Arabidopsis thaliana: one gene and its partners. The protein of the gene in region 3 purifies or fractionates together with the protein of the main gene of each other region. This does not show direct contact. Each region holds a gene or a part of one and is shown on either strand. Other genes may lie near its edges. The genes, in order: PRL, MCM3, ETG1 and MCM4.

Region 1 (7,757 bases), on a different chromosome or scaffold from region 3:
GAGACGGAGCCATCGGAGAGTGGAATAAAGCGCACAGAGAGTGAGAGAGAAGGGGAGTGAAACAGTCGGCGAAGAGAGCGAGATTGATGAGAGAAGCTTATTATGGAGTGAAGAGATTGCGCGGGAATTTTTCACCGGGAAAATACGCCGGCGAAAGTTGCTAATTGGCGGGAAACAACGCTCTAGTAATAATACTCGCTCTCTCTCTGTGCCATCTCGAAAATCGAATTATTCATGCCGTTAAAAGCTTATGGAGTGAGTGAGATATTGCAACGACGTAAATGGGCTTTGCTCTGTATTAATGGGCTTAAAAGTATAATAATATGGCCCATTAATTCTTAAACCGATCCAGAACCGATCTGTTATGTTACTAAACCGAAAATTGTTCTGTTTTCCAAAATTGTCATAAAAATCCCAAAATTCCACTTTTAGAATTTTTTTGAAAATATGTTAGCATGGTACTTACAATATTTTATGATTGTAATAATGAAATCAAATTATACCAAACTGAAAGTATATTACTGACATGGATACAAAATTAGACTAAGAAGTGTTTTAATCAAACCTAGATCAAAACCGTAGTAAATTTGCGAGAGTGAAAAGAACTGCAAGAGTACAAAGTCACATCTAAATTTCCAAAAGTAAAGTTTGTTCTGCAATCAAGAGATCACTTCTATAGATTCCACTTCTAAGGTCTCTACGTTAAGAAATGTGATAAGATAATAGAGATAAAGCACACAACATAACAAGAGAGACTTGGTTTGTTTCCATTTTTTTTTTTTGGGTGGTGTTACTCAGATAAAACGGATGTCAAAGGTGTGAGGATCAATCTGCCAAACATTCAAAGCTGCATATTCCTCCAAACACTCCTTTAGCTGAGCCTCACTGTATCCCTGTTTTCACACCCCAAATCTCTCGTCTCAGTGATCATCCATTTTCAGAAAGAACATGAAGATGAAGATGAAGGAAGAAACTAACCTTTCTGGAGATCCAGTTCAGGGCATTTGCGTAGCTCACATGGGTCTTTTTTGATCTTGCAGCTTCGTCTCTTATGATTGAGTATGTGTCTGATATTGCATCTAGTCCTGCTTTTTGTCGGTCATCAGCATACAATGATATTTTCGACATCTGCATTAGTCTAAGCGCCTCATCCACATCACTCTGTGCCACTGATTCTGAAAATCTCAACCTTGCTAATGCCTATAGAACAAATCGGAAATATATTAACACTCAATAGTCCAACTAATTTACTCAAGTTCCTACACAAATTCTACTTACAGCGGATATGCGCAGAATGCTGAGCAGTGTCCTCACTGTTGTGTAAGAATGAGGAGTATTTGATTTCGCTTCTTCTTGCCTGATGCTGGAATAAGCAGTTGCTATATATTCCTCCAACTCTGCTGGGACGTATGGTGATAATCTCCTTGCAGCTGAAATGTATGCACTAGAGAACCAAATATGCTCATGTTAAAGTTTCTGACTTTGCAGAACAAGAATGCTGTAAAAGCGATTTAACTTACCGGAGAATGTTGGGTTCCAGAGGCTCGAAACCAAGCGCAGGAGATTCTTCTGTCTGATGTACGTGAAGCACATGCTTTGCCAATTCAAGGTCACTGTCCATGTCAGCTCGATCTAAGATCAACCACAGCAGATCGAATCTTGAAAGAAGGGCCGGTGGAAGATTAATGTTTTCAGCTGGAGTTCTTCGCAAATCATATCTTCCCCTTCATAAACACAAAGATACATAGTTCAATAATGATAGCAATGATCACTCAACATTCATGAGTTTTTAATTCATATCATGAGAGTTCACTTACCAGGCTGGATTGGCTGCAGCAAGAACAGCTGTTCGAGCATTCAAAGACGTGGTAATCCCAGCTTTTGCAATGCTTACAGTTTGCTGCTCCATGACCTCATGAATAGCAGTACGATCTGATTCATCCATCTTATCAAACTCATCAATTGCACAGATTCCCATGTCAGCCAGCACCTGAGATAGAGATTGTATCAAACTTCTAAATCACATAGCTCTTACATCATATTTTCTAAAATATATCCAAAGCAAAAGGGCATTGTCTCTCACCAGTGCTCCTCCTTCTAAAACCATCTCATTTGTTACTTGATCTCTCATAACAGCGGCAGTTAGACCAACTCCACTGCTACCTTTGCCTGTTGTGTAGACTCCCCTTGGAGCAACATTTATAATGTGCTTGAGAAGCTGACTCTTGGCAACTCCAGGATCACCCATCAGACAGATATGCACATCTCCTCTAATCTGCAAAAGATAATTAATGAATGTATTGTTTTTAAATCTTCACAGATAAAATGTGTTCCAATCAAGTGCAATGTGCTCTTGAATGACTGAACATGTTTGTAAATAATAAAGCTCCATAACTCAATCAATGAAGACTGCGGACACTGTATGGAAATAGGTAAAACAATATAGTCGGAGATGAACTAAAGCAAGCAACTGCTTTCTAATCAGTGTACAGTCTTTACTCTTTATCATAATAGATAGCAATATCATGGAAATTTTGCCAGAATAAATCAGAGGACAGGAAAGTTCACCTTCATTCCATCCTTTAATTGCCTGTGAGGAGCACCCACAAGAAGGAGAAGCAAAGCTTTCTTAATATCTTCATGTCCATAAATCTCAGGGGCCAGGGATCGCGACAGCTTATTGTATATGTCACCATCCTCAGCCAAACGTGCAATCTGTTCTTCCTCATCTTTCTGAAACTCATATCTGTAGATCATAATGAAAAAGGTATAAAGATGCTTTCTGATATTGTGCACACACGAAAGCTGCTTTGTATCTTAAGCAAATGCAGAAAAACATGGAATAGGTTACTAAATCAGAATGTTTCGTTAGTGTAAAGGTGTAACAACGCCTTACTCCTCATATTTCTTCTTGAAATGAGTAACAGACGTTGCTTCCAGATAGGTGTCTGCTACTAAGCCAGCTCGAAGTGCCTTAAACCCAGTGTAAGGAATGGGAAGAAAAATCCCTGAGAACTCAACAACATCACCTGGTGATACCTACAAGGGTTTAAGGAAATTTAGTAAGAATTTCACAATTGTACGATAGTAAATGACGCTGATATCACAATATCTACAGATAGAGTCCCAGTACAACATTGGAAAAAAAAATCCTCTTAATCAACAACTGTTCAGCATATGCTTTTAAGCCGAACAACAACTTCTCATTGGACTATTCCTAAGCAACCGAGCTATTGATTCCGAAAGTAGAACAAATAGACTCCAATAGTAGCATGAGACTGAGGTCAAGAAAAGGTACCTTTCTTGTCAACTCTCCTCTTAGATGAACAGTCATAGACCTCGGAATATGCCCTTTGGGAACATGTTCAGCCAACTCTTGCATCTTGGCCTGCAAGACAATGATTTTTTACTCATTAGTTTGATATCAGTGCATTCACATAAATGGCACTCATTGACCAGAAACAGAACCTCCTGAAACTTTAGAAACTTTGATGCTCTGAGCTGAAGAATAGGATTCCCGGCTTTACTATTAAGACGACAGCGACTAGAAGGACACTTAAACAAAGGCATGAAGACTCTAGATGTAACTTCCTGATTTGACATGTAAAAGAAAATAATCAGAGTTAGTAGTTAACAAAATAAAAAAGAAACTACAATCTGGCAAAAGCATAGTTGTACCTGGTAAATCTCATGACCACAATCTTCACATGTGTAAACAGCAACCGCCATCAATGGCTTGACATCGGAACAACGGGTCACAATACCAGATATCCTAACAAGTTGCCCAATGTGTGAAGCCTTAACCTCCCTGATGGTAGATGGCCTTCCCTTTGAAGGAGCTTTAAAATAAACCTCACTGAATAAAAGTAAATTCATTAGCAAACTATTGTAAAACTCATTCCCTAAAGCTTATGTCCAGCAAATAGACTCAGACAAAACTTACTAATATCTTTTAATCTCAGAAGGAATCTGCTGATGAGGATCAGAAACATCTGGATTATCAGTCCCATCATCTGCTCTCTGAGTCATGAGAATATCATGATCATCATCTGGAAACGCTTCCGTTGGTTCGGGTAACAACTCGTCAACAGCGGCGGAGAAAATTGAAACATATCGGCGAGTGTTTTCCGTCAACCGTCCGAGAAACTCCTCACTTTCATCTTTATACTACACAATATCAAAAGAGATGAGTGGCTTCTACAATAGCAACATCCAAAACAGAAACAACATTAGAGAGAAACAAAAAAAAACTCACATTGAATAAGTCATCGAGATCGACTTGAATAGCTCGAATCTTACGATTTGAAACCTCTTGCTACACAAATTCATAAAATAGAACATAAAACCCTAAAATTAGGGAGATTCGCGAAAACCCTAGAAGAGAGAAATTGGTGGAAGATATTGGAAATGAGACTTACGAGAATCTCCATGTACTTAGATCTGCCATTAGCGTCGGCGAAATTCTCGAGAAATCCCTTGGCAAGCCCTATATACAAGAAGAAAAAAAGTGAGAATCAAAACTCAGCGAAAAAAGAGGGAAAAGATTATCGAGAACGGAGAAGAAGAGAGAATGTAACCTTTGTCGCCGTCGAAATCGTGGTCTTTCATGGTTTCAAAACTTGGGTCGAGAGAGAGAGTGGAAGAGGAAGAAGAGAAAGGAATGAACCAGTGACTGCAAAATTGGGCGGTAAAAGGGTTGTAGATGACGATGAGTTTAGGCGGGAAAAGTATTATAGAGAGAAATGGCGGGGAGTAAAATGAACGGTCCAGATCTAATGATCACGTGATTAATGTAATGTCGAAACTACCCCTGCTGGAAATAAAAAAGAAGAGGTAACAAAAAGTGTGGCTGCCGGGATTCGAGCCCGGGTCCCCACGGCCACAACGTGGGATACTAACCGCTATACTACAACCACTTTTGTGTTATTTCTTTCCCTTAGTATTTAATTAACCAAAGATTTAATAATATTATCATCTGTTTCCAAAAAATGGGTGACAAATGTGGATACAATAATGTCATCTTCATCATCCTCCTTACGTTGAAAACTAGTGTGATTTCTTCTTACACTTGTCTTAAATCCATAGCTACTATCGAAATTTGTGTGTGTGAATTTAAAGCTTTTGATTTTTTTTTTTGTTGTTGTATATTTAGTCTCTCTGTATTCGACTTTGATCAAAACTTGGTCAACATCATCTTTAACATCGCCTTCATAGTAGGCGATCAAAAAATCCATGGAATAAATAGCACACACAAGTCTGAATCATTTCCCAGTCTACAACAAATCGTTACATCTTCCTTCTTCTTTCTCCTGTAAGTCCTCTTCTTTTTTTTTTAATCTGTTTTCTTTCAACCTATGACGAAAATCATCACACTTGTCTTGATTCTTCACTTTCTGTCTGAAACCAACTTTTTTTTTTTTTTTTACTAGGAAGGATTTTGATTTCTTTTTTTTCCGAGGTGTTACTTGTTAGAACGGGATAAGATCGTAATCTTTTTTTTTATTATGAAGATGACATTTGACCAAAAAAGTATAAAACCTCTTTTTGTATTTGTTTTCTTATATAGCATTAGTATATTCTGACAATATTCCAACGAGCATTGATGATTTTTGTGGAAATAGAGATCAAAGTAGGAGGAAGACATGCAAAATCAGTATTAAATTTTTAATTTGTTATGTGAAGATAAGGTCAAGAAAATGACGTATTTACTTGTTGGAACTTAATTCCAAACAATTATGTACCAAACACGAATCCATACGCAATTATCACAAATCTCAAAGTGGCAAAACTTCACATTTAAAATTTTCCCAAAACCTAACCAAATTGAAATCTATCTAACCACGTGAAGATGTAAATGTGTATAACCCTTTTTGTTTCGTTGTCTCTCAGATTCTGGAATTTGAGTAAAAGCAAGAAAAAAAGTCAACCGTTGCAACAAACTCTTAAAAAGAAGCAAAGTAGTAGCAGAAGAAGAAGAAGAAGAAGAAGAAAAGAAAATGGCAGGAGGGTCGTTTGGTCCGACCGGTGTGGCTAAGGAGAGAGCAGAACAATACCAAGGGAAAGTCACTAGTTATGTTATAATCGCTTGCCTTGTTGCAGCTATTGGTGGATCCATCTTTGGATATGACATTGGAATCTCAGGTTCTTTTCTTCATCTTTTGAATCCAATTTCTTAATAATCTTATCAAACAATGGCTGAAATGGTTTTTTGTTTGTATGCAGGAGGAGTTACATCGATGGATGAGTTTCTTGAGGAGTTTTTCCACACGGTTTATGAGAAGAAGAAGCAAGCTCATGAAAGTAATTACTGCAAATATGATAATCAAGGCTTAGCTGCTTTCACTTCTTCACTCTACTTAGCTGGTTTGGTTTCGACTCTCGTGGCTTCACCCATCACTAGGAACTACGGTAGGCGTGCGAGTATTGTTTGTGGTGGAATCAGCTTTCTTATTGGATCTGGTTTGAATGCTGGAGCTGTGAACTTAGCTATGCTTCTTGCCGGACGGATCATGCTTGGTGTTGGTATTGGATTTGGAAATCAGGTTAGACAATTGTTTAGTTGGTGTCACCAATAATAAACCAATCTCATCTCTAATGAAAGTTACCTTGCTTTGGTTTTTGCTTTCAGGCGGTTCCTTTGTATTTATCAGAAGTGGCACCAACTCATCTACGAGGTGGTTTAAACATGATGTTTCAGCTAGCTACAACTATCGGGATCTTTACAGCGAACATGGTTAATTACGGTACTCAACAGCTTAAGCCTTGGGGATGGAGACTCTCTCTTGGTTTAGCTGCTTTTCCAGCTCTGCTTATGACGCTTGGCGGGTATTTCTTACCCGAGACACCAAACAGTTTGGTCGAAAGAGGATTAACAGAGAGAGGTCGACGAGTCTTAGTGAAGCTAAGAGGAACAGAAAACGTCAACGCCGAGCTTCAAGACATGGTAGATGCGAGTGAGCTTGCGAATTCCATCAAACATCCATTCAGAAACATCTTGCAGAAACGACACAGGCCTCAGCTAGTTATGGCTATTTGCATGCCAATGTTTCAGATACTCACAGGGATAAACTCCATTCTCTTCTACGCACCTGTTCTGTTCCAGACAATGGGGTTTGGAGGAAACGCATCTCTCTATTCATCAGCTTTAACAGGAGCTGTTCTTGTCCTATCAACATTTATTTCCATAGGATTAGTAGACAGATTGGGACGAAGAGCTCTTCTCATAACTGGAGGAATACAAATGATAATCTGTCAAGTCATAGTAGCAGTGATCTTAGGAGTGAAATTTGGAGACAACCAAGAGCTATCAAAAGGGTACTCAGTGATCGTAGTCATCTTCATCTGCCTCTTTGTTGTAGCGTTCGGATGGTCATGGGGTCCTCTAGGTTGGACCATACCTAGCGAAATCTTTCCGTTAGAGACTCGTTCAGCGGGGCAGAGTATCACAGTAGCTGTAAATCTCCTCTTCACTTTCATCATAGCTCAAGCTTTCCTTGGTCTCCTCTGTGCATTCAAGTTTGGAATCTTCCTCTTCTTTGCTGGTTGGGTGACAGTAATGACTATCTTTGTGTATTTCCTGTTGCCTGAAACCAAAGGAGTTCCAATAGAAGAGATGACACTCTTATGGAGTAAACATTGGTTCTGGAAAAAAGTATTACCTGATGCAACAAATCTTGAAGATGAGAGCAAGAATGTATCTGTTTAAAGAGAATATAAACTGATTCAAGAAACTTATGTTTGTATTACTATAAGGTTTT
Region 2 (7,085 bases), on a different chromosome or scaffold from region 3:
GTTCAAGATCGGGCCAGAGAGAGTGGCTTCTCTCGATCTCATTGTCTCTGAATGCAGTGATCAGTTTCCGATCAAGCTCTTTGAGAAAGTGGCTACGGAATGTTACGCGGACGTCTCCCCCTCTGAAGCTCAAGAAAACATCATATAACCAGTTTCGAGAAGAAGATGAAGAAGCCATAGAGAGAATGAGAGGAGGAAACTATGAACAAAGACTTTGGAGATTAAGATTGTAATCGTACGTCTTGGTGATTTAATTATATAAAAATATTAAACACGGCCACAAAAGTCTTCACTAATCAGTTTCACTATTGTTTCAGACACAACTTGACGGATATTTCCAATTTGATGTCTTAATCATCTTTTGTACAAGGTCATAAGCAAATGTTTCATAGCCTCTAATGTCTTATCCCCTTACATTACTACACATACGTCTCACTTTATGATTACTTTAAGAATTTAGAATTCTTAGAGTGGAGACAAGTTTCTCTTGCTCATGGCCTTAACATTTCTGAGAAGCTCTGGTCTGAATCAGAGACATGTATGGCCTAACTACGTAAGTTTATTTAGTAACTCAATTGTTTTGACTAGGGTTGATAGAGAAACGTGTGCAGTAACCTACCAAAATAGATTTTGTTATTTGGCAACAAAAAAAAAAATAGATTTTGTTGTATTACTCTGTATACCAAAACTGATTTCAATCCGTCTTTGTGGAATTTAACCTGATTATATGTACAATTTTAGAAACGTATAGGATCCATCATGGACAAAGCAAACATGTTTTGGAAAAAAAAAAAAAAAGTAATAGAGACCAAATGGAAAAACATGGATCTTTTAGACGAGAGAGTTCCAAGGTAGTGATTATTAGGGTTTTGAAGTTGGCTTATATATGGCACAACTCTATTCTTACCATTGGGTTAAAACAACATATACACTATAATCTTGATGTCGATTACATATGTATAAAATTTGGCATAAACAGCTCAAGAAATTATAGGATAAATATGAAAGTATTTTATTCTCGGATTGTGCTTTTCGTTATAAATTCCAAATTTTATAATCAGATGCGTTTTTTTAAGCATTTTATCATCAGTTTTACTTCACTAGTAAATGCAAAAAACATAACGTATGAATAAAGATTTTACAAAATGATATTTTGGTTTCCAAGAGTTTACTACTACACTATTTTTGAGTTCTAATATGATGATGATGATGCAATCAATATTGATTTCTTCATATGATCAAATGATATGAACTTTGCCATCGCTGATCATCACTTTGTTATCATCTTGCAGTTTCTGCATAAAATCCACAATAGAGTAAAGTTATGAAGATATTGTATAAAAAGTTAAAGAATGAGAAAGCTTGTCTCTTAATTTGTGAATTACCTCTAAGAGAGCCATAATCTCATCTGCAGAGTAACGAGATGCTCCAACCCCATTGTTGTTGACAACAGTCTCTATATCTGCAATAGAGATGTCATCGAGCCTGTGTGTCCTCATGTGCTGCCCAAACACTCGCTCAAAGGTTTCAATCCTTGCTGCAGAGACCGTGCCGCTGAATTGCTCTACAGAAGGTTCATCTACTTCCATTGGATCTGCTGTTTCACTGAATGGACCAGCAAAAGAGAAAGAAAAAAGTATAAGGGTTGAGAAAGCTGTGATATAGGTTTCCATGGAGGAGATCAAATTAGTTTACCTGTCGACATTTGCAGTGTCATTCTCTGCTCCATCTTCATTATTCCTGCGTTGGTTGCCTCTACGTCCACTTGGTGTTCTTTCTTGTTCAGCTTGTTCCCTTTGACGTTCTTCTTGCTCACGATCATCCATCTCAGTTAATTCTTGATGATATATTGCAAAGTTCATAAGCTTCAAGGCAGCCTCTGCATCAGCTTTAGTAACCTTTCAAAATAAAGTTATCACTTTAGAAAGAATCTGAATAGAACATATTCACGACCAGGTGGGGAAACAGAAGATTTGAGTTAGATTGTTACCTCGCTACTCAACTTCATTTTGGCATGTGCCGTAGCAAGACGAATTATTGTCTCTAGAGTTCTGGCTGTTATCGGAAGCGTACCTCCAGTCTGCAGAGATTTCGATGGTTGTGTCAAATACAAGTTCCCAAGACGAAAAAGATACAGTGTCCAATGTTATTTTATGAAATAAATTACCTTAGTATCGGAACCTGCATTTCTGAGATCTGCATATGCTTCTGCAATACGTTCCGATGCCTGCAAATTTAATAACAAAAGAGATTTAGTGGAAGAGATTATCAGATACATAAAAATTTATATATTTGAGTTCACTGTCTCACTTCATCAGTGAGCTTTGGTGTAATACGGTGCTTGGCGTAATGAATGTACTTCTTCAAGAACTTAATCGTAAGGGTTTTATCATGTGTTTGGCCTCTTTTCTTCTTCCCATGTAGTGTTTGGTTATACTTAACAAACATTTCACTCTCAGCATTGTCTTCTCTCGCGTAAGGCAAGCTCCCATCTGGCCCTGCCTCACCTATGGTTCACTCAAAAGTCAGATGCGTTTCAAGACATGGGTTGTGAAATGTTTAGTAAAACATAGAAGCATGATTTGTTTCCTACCTCTATCGTTCTTGTAACGATGCATGCGCAAGACATGTTCTGAAATCATGCTGTCGATACCAGCATCCATTTGATCCAACACAATAAACAGTAGATCAAAACGAGAAAGCAGCGAATCTGGAAGTCCAATGTTCTTTGTTGGAGTCAGTGATCTGTCATACTGCAGGAGCAAGAGTAGGTATTAGGACAAAAAAATACTAGTCAGTAGAGTAAGTAGATTAGGAAAACTTCGGTGAGAACTTACAGTTCCGTATATGGGATTTGCAGCTGCAACCACACTGCATCTAGCATTCAGTGATGCATGGATACCGGCTTTTGCAATTGTTACAGTCTGTTGCTCCATCACTTCGTGTATAGCAACTCGGTCCTGATCATTCATCTTATCAAACTCGTCAATGCACACGATACCTTTATCAGCGAGGACCATTGCACCAGCTTCTAGTCTTCGTTCCCCTGATGAAAATGAGAATTTGATTTTAATGAGAAATAGCACTTTTGACCTTCCTTCAAATTTTGATTTTAGCATTTGATAAAAAAATGTGGAAACGCTTTTGTGTGCTTTTTACCTGTTTCTTGGTCAGAAGTCACAGCAGCAGTTAACCCAACACCGGAAGAACCACGGCCTGTGGTTGATATAGCCAAAGGTGCAATATTCATTATCGCTCTCAGAAGTTGAGATTTGGCAACAGATGGATCACCAACCATCATCATGTTGATGTCTCTGAAAGCACAAGATTTGTTTTCAAGTGAAGAAAGAAAAATGAGTTAGACAAAAAGTATCCAATGAGTCGAATCTGAAATCTGTTTTCAAGCAAGACTTACCCCCTCAAGTGGGTTCCGTTCTTCAGGTTCTTTTCAACACCACCAAGCATCAGTAAAACTACTGCTTTCTTTATCCAAGCGTGCCCATAAATAGAAGGTGCTAAGGAACGAGCAAGGAGATCAAATGCATCATCTCTTCGTGCAATATTTTTAATGTTATCTAGGTCTTGCTTAGTGTATATAGGTGCATTTGCTTCTTTATTGAGCAGAGCGATATTATTGGCTATGAGGATAGTCCTACACAGAAAGAACTCGGTCAAGACTATCAGAGTGAAAACATCTTGAACTAACAGATGTGTAAGAAAACGCACCTAAAGACTCCATTTACACTACCCTTGCTTTTTCCAGGAAGAGCTTTGTAAATACCGAAAACAGATACTCGATCTCCTGGCTTGCATGAGTCAACAAGGTCATCCTCAGCAATGACATCAACGCTTCGTGGAAGCTGACCAGGAGCAGCATTTTCAGGCACTTCTTGAATTGACAAGGTCTGGTGATCTTTGTATTTGCACAGCCCATACTCAGTCACCAATAAGTTTCCCTTATCATCCTGAACAAAAAAAAACTCAATCTTCAGTAAGAGGCAAATCTTCCAGCAGTACAGGTAAATGAACAAAACGAAAACAAAAAACATGTAATTACCCTTGTGGGATAGACAGAGCCAGTGGGTAAACCAGCGTGAGATGTTATGTCTCGATAATCTCGATTGGTAAATTCACCGGTTGATGGACAAAAGTGAACGCTTTTAACAACCTTTGGCCTCACAAGAGAGCCTGAAAGCAAAGCATGTGTCAGAGGTTCAAAATCTTCTACGTAAAACACAAAGGAAACAGAAGAAAAGCAGAGGAATAGAGTGAAAATGATGAGCTTACATTTGGTGACAATGCCCTCAACACAGACCATAGATCCAATAAAATCAGAGAGAAGCTCTCTAGGAGTAACAACGCGAGAAACAAAATAACCTTCAAAACCAACAAGGACAAGCTCTCCTTCCTTCAAGTATTTAGGGTCAATAGCACGAGTAGCTTCAGTGGCTGCGTCACAAAATGACTGCATATACTCATTTGGATTCTTCAGTATCCTATCCAAAAAAACCAAAGCAATCAACTTTAAGGTCACAAAACATATGACAATTGTAGTGAATCCTTAAAAATCCCCAAATTAACCTCACTGAATCTAACAAAACCCTAAAATCTGCCGTAAATTCATAACCTTATACTAAAGAACCGATTAAAAATTCGAGGAAGACAAATTGAGAAGATGACGAACCTAGAGGCAACTTCCCTGAAGTGGTGGTGAATGTCAGAGATATTAATAATGAGACGGTGACGCTTTTGATGTACCAAAGCCTTGATTTCCTCCATATACATCTACACAATCCGTAAAAAAAATCCAATTTTTCAAATTAGATAAGAACAGAAGCTCGAGAAATGTCTGGTGAGAAAAGTGATAGAAATCGACTTACACTATCGAGGAACTGGATAAAATCTCGCTTGTGGCGAAGCCTCGTCTCCTCTGGCACATCCATTTCTTAACAAAATCTGGGTTCTTCGTAAGAACTTTTCTTCTTCTACTTAAAAAAAAAAAACTGATTAGAGATTTTCGATTTCCGATTTCGAGAGGCATAAAGGGCGGATCTTCTCCTTATGGCGGGATTTCGTGAGATAACCTGTACCCTTTTTGGCGGGAAGGGTCATTTTGGGCCGATATTAGTTGGGCCTTTCGTCTACGTGCTTTTTGATTAACCAAATTTGGGCCGGTACAATTTTGGACTTACGTCTACGCGCTTGTTTGGCGCGTTTGATTTCCTCAAGGCGGTATAATACACCCAGATTCTAAACCAAAAACCAGACATACCAAATCAATTCATTGTAAATTCGGTTTAACTTTTGCTACTGCCTTCAAGCCAGTAAACCGAAAAATGTATATATGAAAACCAAAATAAACCTGTGTGATTTGAGAACATTTTCGGATGTATCACAACATATGTATAACTGAAAAAAAATTCAGTATAAATCTAATTTCTTCGAATGTAAAAACACGACAAGAATTGTTGAGAAATAAAAGATGAGAATCCCCTAATTGGATTATTCTGACAATAACACCGTTACTACAAGATTCTCTCAGTTTCTGTTTTTATAAATTACGCAAATATGGAACGAACTAAGATACACAACATTCCGCAGACAAGAGAGAGAACAAACAAAATCTGAAATCTCAGCAACCGTAAGAAACGGGGAATGAAAGAACCGCAAAAGGCCAGAGGAAGAGCTCCAACTTGTGAACCAAGAAGCTGCAAGTGGTGGTGATGGATGATGATAGTAACCGATAGGGCAGAGAATCTAAAAGGTATGAAGAAATCAGGGTTTGAAGGCAGAGAAGGCGACTACCGAGTTGTGTCCACCGAACCCGAACGAGTTTGATATGGCTGCAGCAAAACAGAAAGACATTAATCAGTGAAACTGTTGCCAGTTTAATCCAATGAGAAGGCGGTCATGTTTGTCACTTACCAACATCAACCTCGTGTTGCTTCTTCTCGTTTGGGACCGTGTCAAAGTCCACAGCTTGTTCTGGGTTCTACAATGAGAAAACAAAGAGTGTGAGAGTCTAATACAATGACCAAGTTCAAATCTTGCAACAGTTCAAACTGAAAGCGGAATCAAAGAAGCCTTTTCTTGACTTCCTGTTATACGTACAAATTGGTTGATGGAAGGATGCAGCCATCCAGTGTTGATAGCCTTCACGGTGGCGATGGCTTCTAGACCTCCAGCTGCACCGAGGCAGTGACCTATCATAGACTGTAACAGAAACTGTCATTCACAGGAAATGCAAAGCAAACAAATACATTGAAATAGAGGAGAAGAAGAACACTCAATCATAGAGCATTGGGGACGAACCTTGGTGGCGTTGATTTTGATCCCTGAAGTGCTCTTGAATACCTTTTTAATGGCATTAATCTCAGCAAGATCACCAGCAAGAGTGGAAGTTGCATGTGCATTGATGTAATTTACCTGAAAAACGTGGAATGAATATAAGTAGGGAAGTAACACGAATCTAATGAAGAAATTTGTTTCAGATAGCCTTAAAACTTAGGAAGCATGAAAAGTTTGTGTTTTTTACCTCCTCAGGTGATACACCAGCATCTTCCAGGCATCTTTCAATGCATGAAGAAACCCCAAGACCATCAGCTCTTGGATCAGTCATATGGTGAGCATCACAATTAACAGCACCTCCAAGATATTCTGCTACAATTGGAGCACCACGTTTCATTGCATGTTCCAAGCTTTCCATCACCTATTAGGGCATACAACAATTAGTGGGTCTCTCCAAAACAAAATGTCACATGTATGAGCCAATCTCATGGTGAGATAAACCAACTTTGAAAATGTAGTACAATTCAAGTGCAAGGAAACTTCCAGAGCTAATAGACTAGGGAACACAAGTTTCATCAGATTCTATAAACTAAGACCAAAACAGGCTCTTATATACAATTCAAAACAGAGCAAGCCAAATGTATGTAGATTCATAGTATCAATGAGAGATTAAGAATTTGTGAAACATACCAGAACACCAGCTCCTTCACCCATAACAAACCCATCTCTTGCTTTATCCCACGGCCTGGAAGCAGTTTGAGGGTCATCATTTCTCTGGGACAATGCCCTACAAGCAA
Region 3 (6,714 bases):
ACCAAACGGACTGATCGATCCGGGACATATCGATCCAGCCCTTGATATATATTCTCTAGGGTGTGTGGTTAATGAGATGTTTGGAGCTATACCTATCCAGGAGTACTTTGACGAATTTTACGTATGGCATTTGCGTGACGTTATCTCTCCGCAGGCTCAAGATTTCTTAAGGCGATGCGATGACATGCGTTCACGCAGGCCCACCGCGACTGAGCTCTTGAAACATCCTTTTATTACACAAGGACTTCCATCGCCAACAACAGAAGACAACAAGGAGATATCTAGGTCGTTGATTCCAAGTTTCTCGAAGCTTCTTTTGACCTAATCCTCTCTCTATCTCTCTTGTGTACATATGTATAAAAAAAAGAAAAAAAAAACTGGATAGTGAATTTGCTATGGCAAAGCCTAGCCGAGATGTACCAAGGATCGGTTTGACCTTGGGAACTCGTTAAATTGTGTGTGTCTTTGTTCTTTCTATTCATACAAACGAGAGTCGTACGTGAGAGATATGCAATCGAGACCAAAGTCTTCTTCCGTGATAAGATTATCAGATCGATATATCTCTATACCAAGACTTCCATCTGGTGATTTCAATTTACATACGGGGGAGAAGAAATTTCTTTATTTTATAGAAGAGTATACTTTAGTAAGGTCGATTGGTTGAGTTTGTTTCTTACTTGCATCACAAGAAAATAATCTTCTAGTCAGTTTATCTATTTGGTACTTTTTAAAGTAGAGGTGTCACAGTGTGCATGTGCTTTATTCAGTATTTACCATGTCAGATCAACGATGAAAATTAACCGGAATGGGTTTGAAGTCTCCAAGTTTTCTTCTTTCTCAAACATTTTCCATTACCAGTCAATAGCTCAAAAGTTGAACCTTAATAAATAGATAGGAAATGAAACGATATGGTTCTTCTTACTCAGATAACTTAGTGAAAATTACAATATCCAAATAGTCTCGAAACCATAATACATCTTGTTCGTTACGGTGGTTTTACTTGAGCCTCTCCTTTCTAAGTCTTTCTAGTTCCAACACCATTTGCCAGTGCTCTAGTGAAAGCGTAGTCTCACCATAACTCACAGACATCATACGAGCCATTGTCAACAATCTGTGGAACCAAACAACATAATTGTAAGTTTTGCACATATTTGACAAGGATAAACCCTAAGGAGGGCTTTTGTACCTGCTCAAGTCTTGGCTGCCTAAACTACGATCTGTTTGTCTAGCTGCAACCAAATCATTCTCCACCACCTGCAACAAAAATTTGCAGAAAATATTAGTCAAAAGTCTGAAAACAATGGATTTCTTTAGAAGTACCAGATTGGCAGATTCTAACATTAATGCAATAGATATATACATACCTGTTGCAACTCTTGCCCAATGGAGTGTGATAATGATTTGCAAGTAGCTAAGTAGCACCTCCAAGTTTCAGCTGTTTCTGGTGTGATGACTTCCAATGAATTCACTTGAGAAGGTTGAAGAGGTAGAACCAAATCGGCGGGCATTATGTTCGACTTTCCCTCGGAGAATATGAGCATTTGAACATCAGTGGCCATTTCCATTTTGTAATATTGGAAATCATACTCAACCTGAAATAGCAGCAGATTCCATATTCATATTTGAATCTGATTAAAAGTGAATAATGACGTTGCCCTACCTTCTGACATTCCAAGAGGTTTTTAAGCAGATTTGCATTCTCAACTCCAACAGAGTTCAAGGTGCCTGGTTGCAACTCTGTTTCATCCAATATCAAGTGCGTACCATCAGCAATTTGTAGAACTCCAGGCATCAATCTGAGTCATAAAAACAATATAATTGCAGGTCTTTCAAGAGAAGAATGATTCAAAACCATTGTTAAGATTTCGTAGAACTGGATTCTTACCTGTTGATTCCATAGTCTTTCTTGGGACCGAACGAGGCAGTGTTCAGATACTCAATAGTAAGTGGTATAGATTGTGTGAACGGTAGGAGGCTTTTGAGGGCACCACTGAGCTGGGTACCGAAGATAGACATGCTTTCTTTATTAAGGTGTATGAGATTAAGAGAAAGCTTCCCAACAGCAACATTATCTACTCTTCCATGCACCTGTAAAGGAGAAAAAAAACATATGAATATAGAAGGCCGTAGCAGTAATAGCTGAGAATAAAAACAAGTGATCCTTTTTCAACTAATTACCTTTGACAGGAGATGCAATAATAGGAACTGTGCGGCAATGTGATCATTCCCAAGTAGACCGGTAAGGTACTTCATCAAACTCTCTCTTATCTCTTTGAATATTTGGGGGGATTTTGGCTGCTAAATGGAAAGTAACAAGAGATTTAAAACAAATTTCAAAACACGAATAGGTATGAGAGGTATATTTTCTAAATCGATGATACTTGCCTCTGGTAATAACGAAGAACCATGCAGGAAATGCTGTGTTTCAAGCTTTCTATGGATAAGACAATGGAGGCGTGGGACCTTTCCAGAGGGCATCTGAACAGATTCAGCTTCAGAAAGAGCATCAGAGTTTTCATCAAGTGTATCTGTATCCATCATAACAATTGGATCGAAGGTCAACACTCCAAGAAATTCAACCACATCATTTAGCTTCAAATCTGACTCTGGAGAATCATAGATCTGCGTGGCCGCATAAGAATCTTGTCAACAGACTAGTCTTTGCTGCTTTTGTATACACATGTTAACAGGTAATATAAAGAACAATGTAAACATATATTTACCTTGACAAGACAAGGCAGAGAATCTGCACTTGTAGCAGGCGGAATACCAGAAGTTTGTGGAACCTGAGATTCTGAAGCTGATGAAGTAGCTTCCCCCACTTTCTGATGAACATAAAAAACAGTATTAATCAGAAATTCTTCATCAGCCAAAATCTCAATGTCTCATGATTCTTCCCAGTAACAGTAAAGAAAAGTTTATAATATATGGTTTTTTCCACAACTTTGTAGCTTATAGTGTTAGACTCATAAAGACTTTGAAGAAAGACTTAAGAGACTAGAGATCCTTACCATTTTCTTAAAAGGAGAACCATTACGCCCAGCTTCTAAAGTCTGCAATGGTGGCTAAAATAAGTTATTGACAAACAACACCAATAGATGTTGCTACAACAAAATCAGTTTCATATAAAGCAAACATGAGAACCTAAGTTGCTTACACTGGAGTCCATGGAATCAGTCATTTCTTCATCCACCCTCACACGCTTTTCCCTGTTTTGGCCAGTTAGATCCAAAAACCGGTTTTTTAGCTCTTGTGAAGAACATTCAGTCCACTGGTTTTTTCCCGGAACCTAAACATTGCAATCAAGTGTTATTATGTTTAAACATATATGAGAGACCAACAACAAAAAAGAAAGATCCGCATGAGACAAAACATACTGGAACACAGTAAAGCAAGCGACGCTCCCAAACTTGAATTTCAGTGGAAGAACCCTCAGGAAACTGTGAAACATCACTGTACTTGTTTGTTCTCCATGTTGAATCATCCTAAACAGAACGTAAAAACAGAAACAGTTACTGATAGATAAAGATTGAATTCTTCTTTAGTAGAAACCATCAAAAGTCATATTCCTACCTTGTAAGCACCAGCATAGAATTCATTCCCAAGCATGTCCTGTATCATTCCACGAAACCGAACAAGAGTCTTGGGTTGCACCCACTTAATACTTGACGAATCAAGAATTGGAACCTAGTAGACAAAAGAAAACACTATCGGTTAATTAAGAAAAATATCTCAAAACAGATCCTTGAAAAAACCCAAATTAACCAATCTATGGATAGACTAAAACCTAAAGTAAGCTGATTTACTTAGAAACAGAGCCAAAGTACACGAAAAAATCAACCTATTATGCTAATTGGGTAGTAATTAATCAAAACATACTCAATTGCCCTAAACCCAAAAAAAAATAGAAACAGAGTAAAGGTTTTAGGGCAAACCTGGGAGATAGCAGATTCGTCGGAGAAGTAGTGACGGAACAAATCAACGACACCCCAGTCTTTTCCGACAGACGAAGCCGGATCGTAGCCTGAAGACAGAGCATTTACGAAGGAGAATCGGACGGCTCCTAAAGGGTTGGTCAGACAATCGTAAGCTGGTCCTCCCATATCTCAAAACCAACCTTTGATTTCACTCTTTACCAAAGTACTATGTAGCGAGAATCGCCAAGAATCTAGAGATGAAAGATTGAGTCTTTGCTCAAACACGAATTAAGGGCAATGTCAAGTGTGTATAGTTGGGCCTTTCCCGCCATATCTCCTAGGTTATTCCCGCCATTATCCATGCCCATTCTCCAACTTCCAACGCACCGTTTTGGACCCCTCTCCATACGATGTCGTTTCATGTGTATAATAAACTAATTCATTTGGCATATATGATCCTCTGACCATCTTGGTCTTAAGATTTGTTAAAAGTCAAACCCCAGACTCACAAACACAGAAACAGAGATCTATGAAGCTAAACATGACGAATTTACAACAGAGGAATTAGGTTTTCATATATTTAGTTTTTTCATAAGTCAAACAACATAAACCATGCCGACTTCTAAAAGAGAAACAGGTGGAACCTTAAGAGCCACGTCAGGTCCTCTACAGTTCCTTCTCAAGAAATTATAACCGAAATTAACTGCTAATCTCTTCATCACCGATGATCCTTGTTTCGCTTTCACATGTGAATGTCCCAATATAAACGCAGTTCCTGCTTCTTGCGCTGCCAGCAAATCCCTCAGCTCGCTTCTCAGTTCCGCATCTGCTTCTGCTGACGATGTTGATCCTTCGTCCTCGTAACTGTTTTCCTCAACCGCAAACCTCACCCGTCTTATGGTGGCGGTTGGGGCTGGTTCGGCCATTTGTATGACGTCTTCCATGCTTTCGACTGTGGAGAATCCGATGGAGACACTCTCTGGTTGGAGATTGTCTTCGATCTCGTAAGCTACTGTTCCGATCACGGCTAGTCTTGACTCGCTTGAGGATTCGTTGGACTGGACAGAACGAGCGTTGTCGTCTTCTTGTTGTGTTCTTTTGTGCCAATCGTAACGGATGAAATCCGCCAGCTTGCTTACGAGCTCTGTTTCGAATGAGTCCACGTCTTGATGGACGTCACGGTATCCATACCGAACGATGCATCTGTAAGAGCGGTGGTCAACGGGACCAACACGACCCACGAGGTATCTCTCAGCAGGTGGAACGAACGGGACAGGGACAGATTTCACGCAGACAAAGACAAGAACACGGTGGAAGGCAGGGAGGTTGGTGACGAACCGGGAGAAATTGGCGGGGATTCCAGAGGTTAAATCCGTGAAGACTAAACCGATACCTGGAACTCGAGAAATTCCGAGGCTTGGACCCAATGCAAGAAGCCATTCAAGCGAGACTTTATTCTGGAGATCAAACTCGTATTTCTTAATGGTGGTGTAGTGCCAAACGAACATGATGATCATGAATATTAGAGATAAGAGGATCGGAAGCCAAGCGCCTTCACGAAATTTGGTGAGTGAGGCCGAGAAGTAGAGAAGTTCTATTGAACCGAAAAAGAGAAGGAACGCTAGCGCTAGAATTGGAGGCTTGTGCCAGCAAAGAACAATGACTAATGAGGTAAGACATGTTGTCACTAGCATAACCGCCATTACAGCCAAACCTGCAACCAACCACAAAGGAATATAATCTCAAAGTCGAAGAATCCAAAATTCTTGAGTTGATAAAAGAATCTCATACCTGATGCATTTCCCAGGTGTTTGACATCTCTAAACCCGATAGTAACAGCGATGCAGAGAATCATGAGCATCCAGTTAATCTCCGGTATGTAAATCTGACCATGCATCTTATCGGACGTGTGAATGACTTTGACTCGAGGGAAGCATCCGAGAGACTGGCTCTGGTTTATGATTGAGAAAGTCCCACTGATGATCGCTTGGCTTCCCACAACAGAAGCAAGAATTGCTACAGCAAGCACAGGCCAGTGCAAACATTCTGTTCAAAACCATGGAGTTATATAAACAAAAGATCAGATTACGTTTTCAATGATCAACACCAAAAAAAAATTGAGTTCTTGAAGTAAGGCAAATTACTGACTTGGTACAGAGACGTAAAACCCAATTGCATGAGCAGAATGGTGATGCCGGGATAAGTAAGCAGCTTGCCCCATGTATGCCAATATAAGAGCCGGATAAACCAGGAAGGTAAACGCAATCTACAGCAAACAAAACAAAGATTTATTGAAACCTGTGGCGATATAACAATAAGTAAATCATCCAAGCTAAAGTAGAAACTAACCTGAATTGCTGCGTAATTGAAGTGACCAAGATCAGCAAACATGGCCTCAGCACCTAAAACAAAGACTCAACGAGTTAGATTACTGACATTATTTATGGCGACATTAACAATATCGATTTCTTATATATCTCACCAGTTATGCACAACAAGATCCCGCCTAGAGACATCCATCCGCTTACTCTCGTCTTTCTCAAGAACATGAACATGTATGTAGGAGAAAGAGCTTTGTATATATGAGGATTCCACTGTATTATATTGTACAAGCCAATACCACTTATACAGAGCAGCCAAGTGAGGACAATAGGCGCGAAAACAAACCCAACACGATGTGTCCCAAAATGCTGAAGCGAGAAAAGGCAGACTAGTATGAAGCAGGTAATAGGAATTACTGCATCTGCACGTTTGAACAACAAAGGAAGCCATCATTCATCAGAACTCAAGTAGCAAA
Region 4 (7,044 bases), 9.8 Mb from region 3:
TATTTTGACCAATTATTTGCGAGGTTAATTTATTTTCTTAATATGATAGTCATTTTGAAAAACCATTAACTCTTATGATGACAATTTTCTAAAAGGTGATTCAAAAAATAAATCAGAGTATATATTCTAAATTTTTTGTATTATTTGTGATCCGCTCCGTTTTATTTAGATCAACAAAAATTCTGATCTATATGTGTTTCCGGATTAATCAGATATCAATATCGGAAAACAAATCGAAGCATTTGCCTAACCATGTCAAAATACAATCAAGTTGACTTATACGAAGTCTAGGTGACATGAGAGAGATGGAGCACTAAGAGAGGTAAGGAGTAACGAGTTCCACGTCCTTACGAATAAGAAACGAAGAAAGTTAGAGACCAATCGTATCGTTTACTTTTTTGAACGCATGATCACTTGTCATTTTAGTCCATACCATATCTCTATCGAAATCCAATAATGTTCTCTATGTGGACCCAATTTTCAATCTTTTTATCTAACTTTCTTCTTTTGTACGATCCACCTTTTCATGCTATAAAGTTTGTAATTGCAATGCTCTAACTTTTTCAAATGATTATTCTTCGTTTTTTGTTCTTTTTAAAAATTCTTAATTATATCATATGAAGATACAAATAACTTCATCAAGTGAATAATAGTTTACGAGAATAAGACTGAAGGAAGACTATTTTTGCTATATATAAAAATTGATAAGCATGAAGATATTTTTGAATTTTGGTAGTGATCTAAAGAATACACACATTGTCTTATGTTTGGTCGAGTTGGAACGATTTTATTGATTTCTATCTCATTCGCAAGTTAGCTTTGTTGGGAGTATATTTGATCCATTTTTTTGTCAGTGCCAAAGTGATATCTAGTAACAAAATAAGTCATTACAAATTAGCAAATAGTGAGAAGATGGACCGAGCCACATCATTTGCTGGGTATCCTACTATTAATATGCTACTAAAACCATCATCAAACTCTCTAATCACAGCAATATTAAGCTTTCCTCATGAATCTGTGATTATACTCTCTTGATTCTATCACCTTCAGCTACCAGAAATCCTTCACTCGCTAGCGTCGCGACTGCTTTTCTAACCTGTTTAATGCGTCACAACAACAAATACTTTGTTATGTCTCTGTCCTTAGACCAAAAACCTTTTGATATGTAGCAAAGTGTTATAAATGACTCACATCATGAAGATGAATTTCGGTGTTTATGTTGCCTCCATGCTTCTTCAGTTCTTCAAGTAACTGCAACAACAACATTTCCATTGTACTTAAGAAACGGTTTCTCTTATTGTAAACTGATTTGCTTGCTTTTGGCATATAACAAAATTGGGAAAAAGAAAGGAGTAGTGCATGAATACCTCGGATAAGCGCATTGATGATCCTCCAATTTGCATCTTCTCCAGAGCTATGTCTCTAATTGACGACGCAAAGGTATCCCGCCTCATTCGTTCACTTGCTGACACTCCAGTATTTATCAGGTCCATGTCAATGGTCCCTTCACCAACATAAATACAGGTGTTTATTGTTAGATTGGTATTGAATGCTACTGTTTATCTTTATCCTGATGATAATAATGGGTCTGAAAGTTACTGTGAAAAAACTACCTGTGGCGTGATCCGTTGCTGATTGCTGCATTGCAACTCTGAGAAGTCGAAATGCCTCGTCCACGTCATGCTTTTCAACCTTTATCACAAAAACCATTTCAGTTGATTTAGAACGATGAAAGGAAAATGTATAATATGAGCGTTTAACTAACCCATTCGGAGAAGCGCATCCGAGCCAAGGCCTCACTAAGTCTGATCAAACTTTCAATCTGCCTAGGAGTTGCTGTTATGACCTGTGCCAAATTCAGAGCGTTTCATAGCGTTAGACTAGTCATAGCCTTTTTATGAGCCTTGGTTACGACATAGAAAAGATATTGAAGTTTCGAGGGCACACCTTTTTGCTACTGCCAGCAAACTTCCCTGCTTTTCTCAGCTCAACATATCCTCGGGTCAACTCCTCTGCAGCTTCATCTGACAGTTTAGGATGAATGTTCTTGCGGGCATAGCTAACATAAGTTGTCAGTGTAGTAATATCTATAGCTTCCTCCTGAGCACTCTGTATATTGACACAAATGATACCAATTAAGTAAGATAAAGGCAAAAAATAATTGTCTGTCAACATATCATACACACTGGGAAAATATATAATATAAGACCTCAGCGTTCTCAAAGTGAAGGGCCACAATATGCTTTGCAAGCCTTCGGTCAGTCTGCTCATCGGGCTTGTCAAGAATCAAGTAGATCAAATCGAATCTAAGAAGCAAAATGAGATTATAATTAGTAACACCAAATAGAGGAAACCATTAGCCTTTAGTAAAAATAATGTCACATTGTTGAAGGATTGCAACATACCTAGATAGCAAGGTTGGAGGAAGGTGAATATTCTCAATAACAGAAAGCCGGGGATTATAACGTGAGCCACTAGGATTTGCACAAGCCAACACAGAGGTTCTGGCATTTAGAGATGCAATAATACCAGCCTTTGCTATTGAAACAGTCTGCTGTTCCATCACCTGACAGAGAAACAATGTTCATCAGTAATGCAATCTTATTGACTAGAGACCACATTCACAGGGGGCACCCAAAAACTGTAAGCTACGACTTTGAGCAATGCTAAAAAAGAGAGAGAGGAACAAACCTCGTGTAGCATGCTCCTCGCACTGTCAGACATTTTGTCAAATTCATCAATACAGCAGATACCTCGGTCACTAAGAACAAGAGCTCCACTCTCCAAAACCTAAACAATGTAGCATTCATGTTAGCATGTCAGGTTTATGAAAACTTTGAAACACAGAATAAAAAAAAACAGCTGATAATAAAAAGATTGAAAACAATATTAGCATACAGTTTCTCCTGTCTCAGGATCTTTAGCTACATAAGCTGTTAAACCAACAGCTGAGCTCCCTCGCCCACTTGTGTAAATGCCACGGGGTGAAAGCTTATGAATGTACTGGAGCAGCTGGGACTTGCTCGTACCAGGGTCACCAACAAGTAAGATGTTGATGTCACCACGAAAATTAGCACCAGATGCTAAGTTCAAAGCATTCCCTCCAAAAAGCTTCACATTTGAAATTTGACTCAGTAAAAAGAACTAATTTTGTTTAAACCATAAGTCAGTATCAAAAGCGTTACAGTACCTGGCATAGAAGACCCTTTTTAACATCATCCAACTCCCAGATGTTTGGTGCTAGTGATCTACTAAGCCTCTCATATATATCTGGTTGTTTAGAGAGTTCCTGAAACTTCCTCAGCTGAAAAGTAACACAAATATTGGTTGGAATGGAGGGACGAATGAATAAGATACAAAACTGTAGAACCATTTTAGTTAAATAGATGAAATACCTTCTCCTCATCTAACTCGACATCTTCATCAACTCTACGCAGACTATTGTCAACATCCATAGGATCCTCAGCAGACATTCTTAACTTACTTGCTTTCTTTATGTGAAGGCAATCGATATAGGTCTGTCCTCAACATTCATAAGAAAACATAAATGACAATGTCAGAACGTAATTACAATAAAGGGAAATAACTAACAGAGGAAGAAATAAGATGACATGCCTTAAACACAGATTTCACAGTCCTGTGAGCAGGTCCCACTCGGACAGTCATTGCTCTGTAAATTCCGGTGACCTATCCAGAAAACAAGCTTTTGATTGTCAACGAAAACCATAGGAATGAATGTACTACCCTGATAGAATTACTGCTTTTATTACCTCAATTCTATCACCAGGCTTCCCATTATCAACTAGCTTATCATGCAGCAACAAGCTAACTGTGTGAGGTGTTCCTCCTTCTGGAATCTCATCAGGTGTTTCCTGAAGCCTCACAATCTGCTTATCAGCAAACCTGATACACAAAATAAAGAAGGTAAGTTACAGAAATTATAAGAATCAGACATATACTATGTCTAGAACTTACCTGCATCGGTTGTGCACTAGTGTCATGGAGTTCTTGGTCATGCACTCTTGTTTCAAGCAAGTAGGAGGCTCACTTATTTTCCCTATCAATCAAACAACATTATGAGAAACTATGCAGATACATAAAATCTGGATAAATCCAAATGACCAAATTACCTCTATCAACGATGATGGGGTCAGAGAAGTAACCACAAACAAGGCATCTAAACACAGCTTCCCTTATTTCAGGAATGATAGAGCTACTCCGAATTATCATACCTTTCAAAGAGATCATCTTCTCGATATCTAACCAACCAAACAAAACACATCCAAACATAAGCTAAGCTATTACCACTAGAGAGAACTAAGAAACCAAGAAGAACAAAAACTGAATCATACTAACCAGATGGATTGAGATTTCTCATGGAAGTAGATGTCCTGAGGTTAAAAATCCTAACTTGAACATGTTTCTCGAACAAACGATTAATCGTGGAAACAATATCCATCAGCACAATATCGAAGATAGCGAGAACTTCCAAAGGATAACGAACCATCTTGTTATACAAATCAGGATCATAATCAAACACATCAAACGCATCAACATCAATCCATTCTCCTTCAATCTCAATCACCTTCCTTATCGAAACCATATACTTCCCTTCTCTAAACAAATCATCACTATTCTCTCTAGCTTCTCTGAAATGCTTAACAAACATTTCAATCGCAGATTTAACATCTTGCACACTGATGTTAGTTCCCCAAACGAAAGTCGGAGTAGTATCGTCGCCTCCGTCTTCTTCACCGTCATCGGAAGAAGGCAGTGGCTCGTCAGTGGACATTGGCGTCCCTGGGTCTCCGCCACCACCGCCACCACCGCCACCTCCGTGTCCATTTCTTCCTTTAGATCTGGCGGCGGAAGGACGAGATGTTGGAGGAGTGGAATTGGATGATGCGAGACGTGAAGGCGGTGGTGGAGGAGTTGCGAATTGCGTGGGAGTAGAGGATCTTCCTCGCCGGCGACGGTGAAGTGCGGCGGGGGAAGAGTATGTGTTTTCGATAGGGCTTGAAACGTTTTCTCCGGGAGAAGGAGGACCTGAGGTAGTGAGATTCGTCAAAATTATGAAGCAGTTTCAGATTTAGAGAGAGGGAGAGAGATAGTACCGTCGTTGGTGTTGCCGAGAGAAGAATCAGAAGCCATGGCTGATCGGAGAATTGATTGAGAGACGGAGTGAGAGGTTTCGACGCTTTTTTAGTGAGAAGAGATGAATTAGGCGGGGACTTCACTTGATTTTGGCGCCATTATTACTGGGCTTTTAATGGACCTAATTCCTGGGCCTATTGGTCCCATTTCTTAAACCAAATGACAAAATCAATAAGATGTTAAGAACAGAGGACAGATCTCATCTATTCGCCATTCACAAGTTCAAACAAAAAACTTAGAGAAGCAACAAAGCATAAGACCCATAAAGACTGTTAACGAGAATGTTCCCTCTTTCAAAGACAGCTTACAAGACCCTTTGTTACAGAGAACCAAAAGTTTCAAAACTAAGCTAACAAGAAGTTGCATACTTTAAACATGAAGACTGAGACTAATAGAAACCAGGAATGGTAGAATTCAAGGAATGTTTTCTTCAAGTGAGTGAACGATTTTGTACAAATCCCATTTAAGTATTTAGTCCAAAGTGTCATCATGAAAATTAGTCCCATCACACACAACCGACAAACACAACAAGATATTGAAACAGAACAGAGGACAGATCTCATCCAGAAGAAACCATGCTGAAATTCAAAGAATAGATACTCAGATTAAGACAGAGAACTAAGAGAAACTGCAACACCTTGTTCTTGAGACCAAACAAAATGAAGGATACATATAAAGCTCGTTCAAAAGAGAAAAAAAAAACAGTAAACATAGATAATGTTGATTTAAAAAAAAAACGCATAAGTAAGAGCATAAAATGGCATGCCCATTGCTTTCACCTGGCTCGTCTCTATCTCCTTATCCTTGTCACTTGTCAGTCTTCTTCTCCTTGTCCCTTCTCAGTCTGACTCTTAATCTGAATCATAATATTCTGGCTCGACCAATGGAGGATGGACTGACTTGAGTTGTTTTAAATCGTAAACATTGAGATCCTCTACGTGGTTTACAAAGGTGCAAACGTCACAAGATTTCGTAACGGCTTCACCAAAACCTTGAATTTCAACACGTTGGAGACTGTTCCTTTCGGGATTGAAGTAAAACACATAAAACGGTTGTTTAGGATTACACTTGCGCATCGAAAACACTATTTCACCCGAAGCAGTCACTCCAGCGATGGATACCAAACGACGGAAGAACTTTTCATCGGTCCAAGTGTAGGCATGTTTCGACCATTCCTGTTTCTCAACATCCGCTAGAATCCACACACACAACTCATTAGTGGCATCAGCGTTGACATTATTCTCCACATATTCCTCGACATCTATACCCTTTTTGTAATAAAGCTCTTGAATGTCGACATCATCCTCCCAATAAATCACAGCTAATTTGCCCTTGTAGTTTATCAATCGACAAAACCTTTTTACGTCAATAAAGGTGAATTTTTCAGACCTAACATCAAAGCAAACTATCATATAACCAGACGTTACGTGATTACCATTAACGCGACTCCAATCCGACGTGTCACCTAAGTAATACAAAACCCCATTGATACATACCCCTTCACTCTTAATATCATGTCGCAATGAACATTTTATCCTTCTCCACTTCAGATCTCCAGCTCCAAATGTAATAACTCTACTATGACCAGGACCAGATGGATAAACCATGGACAATGCCTTGTATTGCTTGTCAATTGGGTCAAACCCGAAAAAGCTAAACGCCTTTCTGTAAGTATACCGATTAGGTAAGATGGCATACCGTCCTGTAGTGGGGTTACATATTAGAGGTCTAGCCCGGCCTCGATTACCATAGATATAGATCAAGCCAAAGGCATAACCAATTGAAAAATATTTTAGGTCATAATAATGACAGATCAGTAGATTGTCTGGAGAGAATCTCACATGAAATTCAGCGGTTGCTACAAGAGTCGATGAGGATTTCTCATATGGA

The links.
Region 1: the proteins of ETG1 (region 3) and PRL purify together in Arabidopsis thaliana (affinity purification with mass spectrometry, with the first as the bait; one large-scale study listed by BioGRID). This does not show direct contact.
Region 2: the proteins of ETG1 (region 3) and MCM3 purify together in Arabidopsis thaliana (affinity purification with mass spectrometry, with the first as the bait; one large-scale study listed by BioGRID). This does not show direct contact.
Region 4: the proteins of ETG1 (region 3) and MCM4 purify together in Arabidopsis thaliana (affinity purification with mass spectrometry, with the first as the bait; one large-scale study listed by BioGRID). This does not show direct contact.

What each region holds. Positions count from the first base shown.
Region 1 is NC_003075.7:898,335-906,091, reverse strand, and holds PRL (Minichromosome maintenance (MCM2/3/5) family protein), read right to left. Parts: upstream 5,457-7,757; 5' UTR 5,409-5,456; intron 5,338-5,408; 5' UTR 5,291-5,337; exon of another isoform or gene 5,020-5,290; intron 4,917-5,019; exon of another isoform or gene 4,845-4,916; intron 4,718-4,844; exon of another isoform or gene 4,673-4,717; 5' UTR 4,609-4,672; coding exon 4,578-4,608; intron 4,487-4,577; coding exon 4,419-4,486; intron 4,316-4,418; coding exon 4,256-4,315; intron 4,168-4,255; coding exon 3,944-4,167; intron 3,857-3,943; coding exon 3,679-3,856; intron 3,592-3,678; coding exon 3,469-3,591; intron 3,389-3,468; coding exon 3,299-3,388; intron 3,040-3,298; coding exon 2,897-3,039; intron 2,747-2,896; coding exon 2,569-2,746; intron 2,276-2,568; coding exon 2,084-2,275; intron 1,991-2,083; coding exon 1,818-1,990; intron 1,725-1,817; coding exon 1,521-1,724; intron 1,445-1,520; coding exon 1,279-1,444; intron 1,201-1,278; coding exon 979-1,200; intron 894-978; coding exon 795-893; 3' UTR 501-794; and 1 more. Other genes in the region: MSH6 (MUTS homolog 6), read right to left, coding at 1-13; STP7 (sugar transporter protein 7), read left to right, coding at 5,997-6,141, 6,223-6,542, 6,629-7,705. UniProt on the Arabidopsis thaliana protein: Probable component of the MCM2-7 complex (MCM complex) that may function as a DNA helicase and which is essential to undergo a single round of replication initiation and elongation per cell cycle in eukaryotic cells.
Region 2 is NC_003076.8:18,768,664-18,775,748, forward strand, and holds MCM3 (Minichromosome maintenance (MCM2/3/5) family protein), read right to left. Parts: upstream 5,041-7,085; 5' UTR 4,944-5,040; coding exon 4,881-4,943; intron 4,786-4,880; coding exon 4,685-4,785; intron 4,497-4,684; coding exon 4,288-4,496; intron 4,189-4,287; coding exon 4,058-4,188; intron 3,966-4,057; coding exon 3,727-3,965; intron 3,653-3,726; coding exon 3,416-3,652; intron 3,315-3,415; coding exon 3,160-3,314; intron 3,047-3,159; coding exon 2,838-3,046; intron 2,754-2,837; coding exon 2,594-2,753; intron 2,508-2,593; coding exon 2,311-2,507; coding exon of another isoform or gene 2,299-2,310; exon of another isoform or gene 2,228-2,298; coding exon 2,168-2,227; exon of another isoform or gene 2,081-2,167; coding exon 1,991-2,080; coding exon of another isoform or gene 1,979-1,990; exon of another isoform or gene 1,899-1,978; coding exon 1,696-1,898; coding exon of another isoform or gene 1,692-1,695; exon of another isoform or gene 1,606-1,691; coding exon 1,386-1,605; intron 1,296-1,385; coding exon 1,239-1,295; 3' UTR 986-1,238; downstream 1-985. Other genes in the region: AT5G46270 (Disease resistance protein (TIR-NBS-LRR class) family), read right to left, coding at 1-199, 416-427; KASI (3-ketoacyl-acyl carrier protein synthase I), read right to left, coding at 5,776-5,843, 5,926-5,992, 6,064-6,213, 6,313-6,426, 6,536-6,709, 6,979-7,085.
Region 3 is NC_003071.7:16,932,316-16,939,029, reverse strand, and holds ETG1 (E2F target protein 1 (ETG1)), read right to left. Parts: upstream 4,410-6,714; 5' UTR 4,104-4,409; coding exon 3,936-4,103; intron 3,688-3,935; coding exon 3,574-3,687; intron 3,486-3,573; coding exon 3,378-3,485; intron 3,290-3,377; coding exon 3,158-3,289; intron 3,054-3,157; coding exon 3,012-3,053; intron 2,826-3,011; coding exon 2,724-2,825; intron 2,623-2,723; coding exon 2,386-2,622; intron 2,296-2,385; coding exon 2,179-2,295; intron 2,089-2,178; coding exon 1,886-2,088; intron 1,797-1,885; coding exon 1,661-1,796; intron 1,593-1,660; coding exon 1,365-1,592; intron 1,255-1,364; coding exon 1,187-1,254; intron 1,112-1,186; coding exon 997-1,111; 3' UTR 758-996; downstream 1-757. Other genes in the region: AT2G40560 (Protein kinase superfamily protein), read left to right, coding at 1-325; KT2 (potassium transporter 2), read right to left, coding at 4,514-5,631, 5,709-5,963, 6,066-6,183, 6,267-6,319, 6,400-6,660. UniProt on the Arabidopsis thaliana protein: Associated component of the MCM complex that acts as a regulator of DNA replication. Binds to the MCM complex during late S phase and may act by promoting the disassembly of the MCM complex from chromatin. Required for sister chromatid cohesion.
Region 4 is NC_003071.7:7,125,515-7,132,558, forward strand, and holds MCM4 (Minichromosome maintenance (MCM2/3/5) family protein), read right to left. Parts: upstream 5,216-7,044; 5' UTR 5,152-5,215; coding exon 5,115-5,151; intron 5,047-5,114; coding exon 4,357-5,046; intron 4,260-4,356; coding exon 4,131-4,259; intron 4,058-4,130; coding exon 3,976-4,057; intron 3,904-3,975; coding exon 3,771-3,903; intron 3,688-3,770; coding exon 3,616-3,687; intron 3,519-3,615; coding exon 3,396-3,518; intron 3,305-3,395; coding exon 3,191-3,304; intron 3,112-3,190; coding exon 2,899-3,111; intron 2,791-2,898; coding exon 2,692-2,790; intron 2,567-2,691; coding exon 2,406-2,566; intron 2,307-2,405; coding exon 2,210-2,306; intron 2,110-2,209; coding exon 1,948-2,109; intron 1,847-1,947; coding exon 1,766-1,846; intron 1,693-1,765; coding exon 1,614-1,692; intron 1,505-1,613; coding exon 1,368-1,504; intron 1,252-1,367; coding exon 1,192-1,251; intron 1,097-1,191; coding exon 1,022-1,096; 3' UTR 765-1,021; downstream 1-764. Other genes in the region: AT2G16450 (F-box and associated interaction domains-containing protein), read right to left, coding at 6,006-7,044. UniProt on the Arabidopsis thaliana protein: Probable component of the MCM2-7 complex (MCM complex) that may function as a DNA helicase and which is essential to undergo a single round of replication initiation and elongation per cell cycle in eukaryotic cells.